3 linked regions of the Caenorhabditis elegans genome follow. The protein of the gene in region 3 purifies or fractionates together with the protein of the main gene of each other region. This does not show direct contact. Each region holds a gene or a part of one and is shown on either strand. Other genes may lie near its edges.

Region 1 (3,393 bases), 5.2 Mb from region 3:
ATCGTTCATTCCATCAACGAAACCAACGGGGACATTCATCATCGAATCGTTTCAATTCTCCATTTGTTAGTCGAAATAACTACAACAACAATTCTGAAACAACTGAAGGATCTTCTCGTCGTTCCGAATATAATTCTTCGTCTTCCAATCATCATTCCCGTTCGTCATATCGTGGCAATCGAGATGATCGAGGCTCTCGATGGTAAAGCCGCCATCAATATTATATATGCATTTTCCTTCTAAAACCGTTCAATCTTCAAATATTTCCCTTAACCTTCCAGTATTCCAAATCAGCTTGTGCGAAATTTTAAGAAAATTTCTCGAAAAATCTAAATCTCCTTCGCTTTCAAACATCAAATTTAGTTTCTGTGTGTTAGTATATCCTAGCGTTTCATATCTAAGATAACAATTCTCAATTATCTCTTTTTAGTTAGCAATAAAATAATGCCATTGTTGTTTGACTTTAATTGTTGAATCTCTCGTTCTGTTTAAACGAATATTCCATGTGTGTTGTGTTTTATAATATTTTATTGCTTCTATCGTTCTCCAAAGTCTCGATTCAAAAATCCATGTTTCTAAATACGGAAGTGAAACTAAAACTGTTAAATCTAAAATTTTCGAATCAATATAAGTACATTTATTTACAGAAACAAAAAATTACAATTTCAACATATAAAATTACAAAAATCAACAAGAAAACGATATAATTTTAATACATTTCTTTTTCAAATGGATCATCAATCTTGACACTAAAATCCATTGATCGGTTCAAAAAATCGCGGAATTGTTCGATTAAACTGTCACGGCGACGACTTCCGATAGATTCCATGTGACAATCCATTGATGTATCAGATGCTGAAAATTTTTATAATATCAATAACTTTAGAGGGGAAAATTACCTGAAATATATTACCGAGACGCAAAACCTTACGATTTTTACACCAAACTAAGGCGTCCGGTCTCGAAACGACAAACATTTGTTCAATTCGAAAAGGTGTGCGACTTTAAAGAGTATTGTAGTTAGAAACTTGTGTTTCTGCGGAATTTTCATTGATTTTTCTATTTTGTTGAAATTTAATTGTAAAACATATTTTCTTTTGTTGACAATCTACAGTACTCTTCAAAGGTACACACCATTCACAAACATTTGTCGTATCGAGACCGGGCACTGTATTTTTGACAAAAATCTGGGTAAATTCTCAGGGTTAATACAGCAATTAATCAACATATAGTTTTCATTTAAAAAAGAACAAACCATCACTGAAACGTCGCTCCCTTTCATCGTCACCACCAATCTTCTTCAAATCCATAAAATCTTTGGTCGATTTGTCCATTCTTCTAGTTCTTCTCAACAATCAAATGAATTATCAATCAAATTGTTCGTCTTTTCCTTTTTATATTATTCTTTTTTTAGCGGGTACCTAACCATCTAAACAATCAAAAATGGGTGGAGAAGGTCGATTGACACACGTGATTATATCTTCTACATGCTTTTTCTTATCTATTTGATATTAATAAGGTAACATTTATGGTAAACACTTACGAATGCAACACAGTGTATCGCATTTCTGCTCGTGGAGCAATAACATGGAATAGGTTTTTCTTGAATATTCTAATACAGGTGCTATTTTGAAAATGTGTATAAAAGCCAATATTTTAACTAACATGTTCCGTCATGTGAAGTGGTAATCGGCAGTCCCCCTAGTGAACAATTTTCAGACGGAATAATATCGATCCAAAAGACATCGCCACATGTTCTCCTCTCCTCTTCCGGTAACTAGTCACTGAGACAATCTATAAATCTGTAAATGTACACTGTCTATCATGTACCATTTAGTGTACTGGATATAACCTAAACTAATGTCCAAATCTATAATGGTTCAATTCTCACAGCTATGACGAGTTCTTGACGACATGACGTCATCACTGACAATTAAAGATAGTTCCCTTCGTTCGGGTTGACTATCGTCGGAGATGTGGACGAGCGCCTAATCTTCTCTCTGAGCTGTTTTTTTATTTAGAGAACAATCAACAACAAAAATAATTTAAGTTAACAAAAAATAAATATAGCGTCTTATGTGCGAGTCTCTGCCAATTTCTTTTGCTTAGCATGATGCTTGTGCTTTTTCCCATCGATATGTTTCTGCCTGAAAAAATTCATTTCGAAATTATAATATGTATTGAAACAAACCAATTATCTTTTCCAGTCATTGAAATATTACAGATTTCACAATTCAGCAGAATATTTGCATCGGACCCTTTTAGAATTGGATTGGTGTCTGTGGAGATCTGTAGAAATTTTAATTTGTGATTCGGAAATTTTAGAATTTGTGAAATTTTACATCTTCAAATAGATCGATTCCATTCATCCATTGATCAACAATGTCCATTCCATCACTAATTATTCGGTACTTGTCAGATGTATCCAGCATTTTTGTACTTGCCATTTTCTGAAAATTATTTTTAAAGTGAAGTAGAGTGAATTAATTAAAATAGAAAAATGTTTTTTTTTAATTTTCTGGTCGTCACTTTATGACTTTAATTCAAAATTTCAATTTTTTTGATTAGTTTTACTATAATTTTCAGCCATTTTCAGCCAATAACTTTGTTAATTTAGTAAAAAAGTTCTTTAAAAATTCAATTTTTTTAAAATCAACATACCCGATCACCATCCGACCGTTTTAAAAGTCTCGATCGATACCACCGTCTCTGGCGCCGTGCATATTGTCGAGTGTGAAGCTTCACATCATCGCATCTGAAAATAGCTTGGAATTTATAAAAATTGAAAATAAATTTAAATTACCCTTGCTTGAACAATTTATCCCCATTGAGTGTATCTCTTTCTGATGGGTCCAAATTGAGCCATGGAACGAATTCTTTAAGACCAATACATTGCATGACACCATATTTGCTGTGATTTATGTACTCGGCGTGCTGAAAATTTAGTTTATAGAGTATAGTAAAAATCACAATGAAATAATGCCTCAGTAAGCTAAAATAAATACACGAACATTTTCTGAACAGTTTTCAAAAGTTTAAACTTTTTTGGAAAATAGTAAAGAATGAAAAAAAAACAAAATAATAAAAAATTTTCTTTTTTTTTCTGGAAAAATTCAAATATTTACCTCGTTATAAAACTCGATCAATTCATTCTTCAAACCCAATTTAATCATTTTATCAACTCTTCCATCAAGTCTTTCTTCTAAAACTTCAGGTGTTGCATCCATAAAAATAACTAAAGAATTATCAAATCGTAGTCGTCCACCCAAATCAACAGTTTCATCTGATTTCTGTTTTTCAACAAGTTCACTTTTTCGGATTCCTGCAAAAAACTTTACTTGATTTGTTTTTAATCTGGAAATTTGCAAATCAATTACCAGTTTCTCTGAAAAT
Region 2 (3,666 bases), on a different chromosome or scaffold from region 3:
TAAAATAAGTGGCTGGTATATCTAGATAATTGTTGATCTTTTAAATGAAACAATCATCCCATCAAAAAACGGGCAAAACACATAAAATGTGATATTATTTTAAATTTCTATCTTATCTACTAGATGCAGTAGCCACATGAAAACAATTTTTGACTGTGCATTCTTATATGCAAACAAAAGGGATTTTTTCGAAATGAGAATGCCCACCCGAATGTCCATGGTGTGATACTTTACAAATACAAATAAGTTGCGATGGCTTACTCTGAAAAGACGCGATTCCGCTTCGAAGTACTTGGTACGAGAGAATGAATGGACGTCTGCCAGCAAATCTTGTCATTATCCTAAAAAATATCAATAAAACAGCTTGAACTAATGCAATTAAAACAAAAAATCAAGAGAAAACACAAAAAAATCTCGCAAAATGAAGCCGCGATGCAGCACGCGACGCGTCAGTCGCAAACACGCTCACGTAATTATGCACAAATAAACATACCGTAATCAATTTAATTATTTAAATTAAATATTAAATACAGTAGTTTTTAAAGTTGTATTGATTACAAAAGTTAAAAGAAAAACAATTGTATTGTATTGTAAAATTGCAATTATATGAAACTAACAAAGTTACTAGAAATCACAAAATTATATTCCTGTAATATTTCAATGGACCATCACGAATATATTTTTCTCTAATTTGCTTTCGCATTAGCCTTTCACTTTCATAAACATGTGTGTGCTTCTGATTTGCAAACACTTGAAGAATTGATAGGAAAATCGGAAATAACAACAATGGTAGCGGACAAGGTGTGAAAGGGAACACTTTAAATAGTTTAGATTCGCTCTGCCACCTAATCAAGTCATATATAACTTCGGTTGTGATTGCTCCCACAACGTCTGACGGACTGAAGAATCTTCCATAAATATCCGTATAAACGAAATTGATTCGAGTGAATAGGTAAAGAATTACTTGTGACAGCGGATAAAGGTACTGTCTATCGACTAAAAGCAACAGAAATGAGTAGATGAGAGCAAGAATTTCAAGAATTGAATTGATCCATGTCGAATAAGTGAGATGCACATTAAACGTCTTCAATAGTTTTATCTCATCTGAAAATTCTGGTTAACAGTTTTATATTATAAAAATGAATACTCACTCTTATATTTGGTACGATCTTCTAATATATGTTTCATAGGCGGTGTAAGAAGACCTGATGACATTTTTTCCTTTTCATGTGCCTCGCTGCATTTTGAGCTGAAAACTGTTAACATCGAATTCAATATTGAAACTAAAAAAGACTATAGGGACCAACTTTGTGTGGGCTGAAGCTTCAATGAATAGAGCGAAGAAAAATATGAACGATGAATAGATTACTGCTATTATTACAATTGGTATGTATGCCATTCTGCAATAAATATATTTTAAAAAGTATAACTACATACGTACCTGATCATGGGATTTCTGTAGTTATCTTCATGTTCCCCGTCATGATTTATTTCCAAAATAACATCATCATCTGAATCTTCATCATTATTTTCTATATCATCAATCCTTTCATAATCTTGAGTTTTTCGACATAGAAATCGTTTGGGCTTCTTCCACCGTACCATGCCTTCTGAAAACCTTTTCAGCTCATTTAAAAAATGGAATGCTCAAGGGTCAGAACGTGCCAAAAAATTGAGAGAAAAATCATCGTTTCTCGAAGAAACAAGAACAAACATAAAAAATGGTGAAAGCCAACGGAGCTACTGGCATTGCTGCTCTCTTTTCTGTCATACGAATCTCCAAATAAATTCATTCTCATTCATCTACAAAACAACCAAAAATACATTCAACATATCTAGCACTTTGTGAGAATGTGAATAGAGCTATATTTTTACTAGAATTGTACGTACGAATAGATAGGAAGATTTAAAAATTGGCAATATGGAAAAAAACAGCGAAGAGGATTGAGGAAAAGAAGGAAAATGCAGAGATTGATGTATAAAAGGAAGAATCCCGTAAAATGAGTGGGGACGGCTGGGATATTGCCAAGATTTGGTTGTGACACGACAATGATTACATGAAGTGGTGGGTGTATGAGTTAAGAATATCTACTCTACTGATTTTTTTTATCGGATCATAAAAGACAGTTAATCAGTTTTTTTCTGAAAAATTGAAAGTAAAACCTTGGAAATTTCTCAAAACAACATCGGAAACTGCAGAGAGTGAGTCAGTATAATGCAAAATTGGAAGCATGGGAACATATACATTGGAATGTGGAAAATCACGATAATTCTCAAACTAGTTGTATCTAAATATAAGTTGAGCCAGAATATTTTTTGATAAAAAATAATGAATTTAAATTTTAGATCTAAACGTGATGGGGGCTAATATCGTACTTATCAATCACATCCCCTTATGATTACATATTGTGCTTTAGTTTTTAGAAAGTCGACATTACATCTTGAGGCATCTCGTTGGGGCACCTCAAGAACTTAATAACTTGTTGCTATTAAATATTCATATCAATTTTAAACTTTACAGAAGACCACTACTACTACAATGACCCCAACTATTTAACAATTTCACCACCTTCAGATAGACCGTAAGTTCAATTCAAGTTTTTAGAGTTTTTCTTATAAAGTGTTATCATAAAGAAATGATTTTTTTTCAGAGAAGATAACCGCGAAGGATCAACTTCTGGATATTACTCGAGCCCTCGTGCTCCACCCCAGGCAAATCCTCGTGATGAATCTCCAATTCCAGATACCGAGCCAATTTCAGTATCTGAGTTTTCAGATGCACTTGCTCCGCCTCTTTTTAAAACTCCACCACGTGAACGACGAACACGAAAAGAGCAGAAAATTGACGAAGAGGATGATGATAAACATTCTTACGTGTAGATACATTGCGTCTTTCTTTCTTTTTTGAATGTTTCAGATATTTTTAAACCGTTTCAAAAATGAAAATTAAAACTTCCCAAAGTTTGCAAAATGTCAAATGTGACATCAAATGTATTTATGGATACTTTATGGCATTTGAGAAAGACAGAACAAACATAAATTCTTCTTCTAAAATTAAACCCTGGTGCTGCAGACACCGACATCTTGTGCTCGCGTGATTTTGAGGGCGGGAAATTGAGAAATCGAGTAAAAAAGAGCAAAAAGAGTTCTGGAATGAAGAAATAAGACGAAAAAGATTGAAGTCATTGATTCCTTTTTTAAGGTATATTTTTCTCACGCTCTCGTGTTACTCTTTTTTGATTATCAACCAATGAATAAAGCACTAACAAGCAATAAAACGGCTGTTTATTTTCGAAAAGAGTTCAATCCGAAAACGAGCCGCAATCATTAATTCATAACTGCTCACATGTCTACTGGTTACACACTCAATCTCCAGCTACCAACTTATTTTTTTACATTTTTTTCTTCCAATTTGATTCAATGTTTGTTTGTTTGAAAAGAGAGATATAGAAAAAAAAAACCAAAAAACAGGTGAATATTCTCGTACTTTTTTGATTTTTCTCTGGACAACATTAAAGTAGAATCAAATTATTTATCTTGTCCTTTTAAAAAAATTATTCCTGGATTTTATAGACTCTTCTGACTATTGAAATTTTTTGAAAATGTATGTGTCTACCTTTAATTGTTCCTTGTTGCATATTTCGAGCATGAGTGACTACAGAGTTC
Region 3 (3,759 bases):
TAAAAAATCGAGTTTTAAAGTGAAAATTCGCAAAAAATTCGAAATTTTCGATTTTTTGACGGGACATTTGGTTAAAATTGCCATTTTCCTTCAATTTTCGACTAAAAATAGCAATTTTAGGTCATTTTTCACGATTTTAAGGTCGAATTTTGCCGAAAATCACGATTTTTCTAGTTAATCATAGATTTTTCCAGCACCTTGAAGGCATTTTCCATTCGGGGTGAATCGCTTTCATATGATCCATACGAAGTGATCGATAGCCGCCTTTCCACAGACAATCCGGCATATAGCACTTATATTTTCCGTTGGCATCTCCAATGGTAAGTCTGTCCGGTAGACGATCGTTCGGGTACCGGCGGAATGCAGTTCGAGTCCGGTTTTGAACAAATTTCTGGAAAAACTGAAGGAATTAGCAGGTTTTTGAGGTGAAATTTGAGTTTTTCGCGGTTTTTTACGTATTTTTCGGGCTTTTCTGGGTTAAAATGTAATTACATAATTATTTAAATATTTTTAACAGATCATTTTTGGGTCTGCTAAATAATTAGCAGACCATTTTTGGGTCTGCTAAATAATTAGCAGACCATTTTTGGGTATGCTAAATAATTAGCAGACCATTTTTGGGTATGCTAAATAATTAGCAGACCATTTTTGGGTTTGCAAAATATTTAACAGACCAAAGTTGGGTATGCTAAATAATTAGCAGACCAAAGTTGGGTATGCTAAATAATTAGCAGACCATTTTTGGGTATGCTAAATAATTAGCAGACCAAAGTTGGGTATGCTAAATAATTAGCAGACCAAAGTTGGGTATGCTAAATAATTAGCAGACCAAAGTTGGGTCTGCTAAATAATTAGCAGTCCAAAGTTGGGTCTGCTAAATATTTAGCAGACCATTTTTGGGTATGCTAAATATATATTCTCGTCCATTTTCATCAGTTTTGGCTCAATTTTCACGAAAATTTTTCTCGAAATTTACAAATTTTCCTCGATTTACCGAATCCAACATAGGACTATCGTCATTTTCCTCGTCTTCCTCATGATCAATAACCACTTCTTGGCCGACAATCATGGAATTTCCGTCTAAATTCATGTCCGAGCCGCCCATCAGCTGATAATTGGCTCCACGGCGAACATAATCCCCAAGGGAAGTCTCTTCGTCAATAATTCCGAGTCCGTGAAGGCGAGAAGCTTCTTTATCGGTTCCTGGAAGCAAAAAATCGTTTTTTCACAGATTTTTTAAAAGATTTATTACTTATTGCCGAATCATCCACACATTCCACTATCGTTTTCGGACGTTTTCGACCGCCGAGAAGCTGTTTTGTGGTGACTCGTTGCAGTGGAACCGGAGAATCTTCGTATTTTTTCGGTCGGCCCTGGAAAAAATTAAATTTTTTTTCGTTTTTCAATCAGAATCTTGAAATATCCGCCTTACCCTTGGTTTTTTATCATCTTCCTGACCTTCTGGCCGTGGATGTCTGTGTCTTTTGTGTGCACTGAGACTTCGATCGGATTTCCCGACGTATTCGCATAAATTGCACTGAAAATCGATATTTGTCGGCACATTCACCACGTCCACATCGTCCTGCTCATCGTTTTTCATCATTTTTTAGCTGAAAAATAACATTTTTCAATTTATTTCGTTAATTTCTTTGCATTTTTCCATTTAAATTCGAAAGCGAAGACGAGAGAGCATGCAAAAACGAGAGAGCGGGAGAGAAAAAGAAAAGGATAAACAATGTTTTCGGCGGCATTCGGAGCGTCGTCAGACGCGCGCTGCGAGACCCAACAGACGGGAAATGTCATGCGCCTTTGATTTTACAATTTATTTCGGCTATTTATTGCGGTTTTTTTGCAGTTTTTCGCTCAATTTTCTTCTAAAATTTGAATAATACATGATAAAAAAAAAATACATAATTTATTTCGACAGCGATTGATACATAATTTCACAAATTTACATGGATTTTTGCCACAAAATTAAAAAAAAAATAAAATAAAGAAAGCACATTTAAAGTTTATTCATTTGCTTCTCCAAATGTTCCATATCCCGCGCATCGGCTGACTTTGTGATTCTATCGAAAATAAGCTTCTGCGTCTCCTCTAACATCTTGAGTTGCTCTTTATTCTGTAAAAAATCGGCTTTTAGGTTGGAAATTTTATTTTTCTAAAAAACGTACGCTTTTCATACTGGTAGCTTGAGATAATCGGCTCTTCATGCTGCTCAGAAACTCGTCAAAGTCCGATTTGGCGGGTTTCTTGTGAATTCCAGAGTTTTTGACTTTTGGAATGGCGTTTTTCGGTTTTTTCGACGCTTTTTCGGTTTTCGATGCACTACAGTTGCTATTTGCTGAAAAAAAATTCGATTTTATTTGAAAAAAAACCTGAATTTTAATAAAAATTTGATAAAAAACTCACAATTGGCAGAAATCCCTGAAGAACTCTGCTCAGCAGCCATCATGGTCTCCTCGTCTTCGAAAATGGTTTCCATAGTGTTTTAGCTGCCAAATCCTTATTAAAACTCAAAAATTGTCAATAAAAACGCGGAAAATTGTCCGAAAATCGATTAGGGACGACGAGAGAGTGTGGGGAAGTGAGAGACGGAGCTTGTGTAGATTTACGGTGAACAACGCGTGGGGGTGGGATAGCGGAGTGTCGTTTGGGAATTTATTTTATTAAATTTTTATTGTTTTTGTTGATTTTTAGGAGGTTTCCTTGGTTTTTTCGACTATTTTCTTCAGAATTTTGATGATTTTGATGTAAAATCACTTCAAATTCCAATTTTTCCAGGTAAAATGAGCTCCAGCCTGCTTGCGAGCCTCTCCCGGCTCTCCCTACTTCAAACCCGCCAAATTCATCAAACAATTCCCGCCGGCTCCTCGGTTTTTATGAAAAGACAGAAGAAAATTGATCCGGAGGTAGAGAAAATTACAGTTACTCATTGAATAAAACGGGAAATTTAATAAAAATTGAGAAAAAATTCAAAAATTTTCCAGGTAGCAAAGCAGCGAGAGACCCGACGCAGAAAACGGCTGGAAAAGGATATTCGTCAGATGCAAAAGCACTCGAAAAAGCCGAAACCAGTGGATGAGCTCACTTTGGACGTGAAATCCGCGAAAAATATCGGGTTTTTCAGCGATTTTCTGCCTAAAAACTCGGAATTCTTACAGAGAACGCCGCCGCCCACGCACCGAGCTCACCTTGGAGCAAATTGACGAACGAGCCATCGCTCTGAAGGTAAAAATCTGAGAATTTCGCTTCAAATCCGTGGATTTTCAGGATTATACACGCTCCCGGTTGGCTTTGCAGCAGGAGGATGACGCGTGGATTCGTGGAGCCATCGAATCGCAGAGAAAAGCTCTAAATGAGCTGAAAATGCTCAAATTGGAGCTCTACGAGGCGGCTGTACAGCCAGCAGCCAAGGATTTACCGCTTATTGTTCAGGTAGCGGAGAAATTGAAGAAAAATGGTCAAAAAATTGATGAAAAACCCGAAAAACTCACGAAAATTCATTAAAATCTTAAAAATTGCTAGAAATTCGGAAAAATGCCCAAAATTTTAGAAAATGTTTAAATATTCCTGAGAAAATGTCAAAAATACCGAAATTTATTAGTAAAATCTTGAAAATTTTGCCAAAAATCTGGAAAAACCTGGAATTTTCGACTTTTTTTTTCTAAAAGTTTCAAAATTCCCAAATAATCATTCAAAAAAAAAAACTTTCTAAAAAATCTCTAAAATTTTTGCGGAAATTTTGAAAAAATTCAC

Evidence for each region.
Region 1: the proteins of attf-3 (region 3) and ZC395.5 fractionate together in Caenorhabditis elegans (co-fractionation; one large-scale study listed by BioGRID). This does not show direct contact.
Region 2: the proteins of attf-3 (region 3) and T28D9.16 fractionate together in Caenorhabditis elegans (co-fractionation; one large-scale study listed by BioGRID). This does not show direct contact.

The regions. Positions count from the first base shown.
Region 1 is NC_003281.10:5,265,812-5,269,204, reverse strand, and holds ZC395.5 (Ovule protein), read right to left. Parts: upstream 1,358-3,393; 5' UTR 1,335-1,357; coding exon 1,256-1,334; intron 856-1,255; coding exon 710-855; 3' UTR 624-709; downstream 1-623. Other genes in the region: ztf-8 (C2H2-type domain-containing protein), read left to right, coding at 1-206; gro-1 (C2H2-type domain-containing protein), read right to left, coding at 2,075-2,147, 2,192-2,289, 2,343-2,450, 2,662-2,755, 2,804-2,934, 3,126-3,322, 3,378-3,393.
Region 2 is NC_003280.10:6,473,630-6,477,295, reverse strand, and holds T28D9.16 (uncharacterized protein), read right to left. Parts: upstream 1,610-3,666; 5' UTR 1,606-1,609; coding exon 1,442-1,605; intron 1,401-1,441; coding exon 1,308-1,400; intron 1,250-1,307; coding exon 1,152-1,249; intron 1,105-1,151; coding exon 632-1,104; 3' UTR 572-631; downstream 1-571. Other genes in the region: T28D9.4 (uncharacterized protein), read right to left, coding at 262-337; Degenerin-like protein del-10, read left to right, coding at 2,522-2,582, 2,652-2,880.
Region 3 is NC_003281.10:84,775-88,533, forward strand, and holds the start of attf-3 (C2H2-type domain-containing protein), read right to left. Parts: upstream 1,611-3,759; 5' UTR 1,604-1,610; coding exon 1,433-1,603; intron 1,374-1,432; coding exon 1,253-1,373; intron 1,204-1,252; coding exon 995-1,203; intron 392-994; coding exon 198-391; intron 1-197. Other genes in the region: F54C4.4 (NAM-associated domain-containing protein), read right to left, coding at 2,006-2,122, 2,175-2,344, 2,413-2,485; mrpl-40 (Large ribosomal subunit protein mL40), read left to right, coding at 2,790-2,912, 2,991-3,121, 3,165-3,231, 3,274-3,438.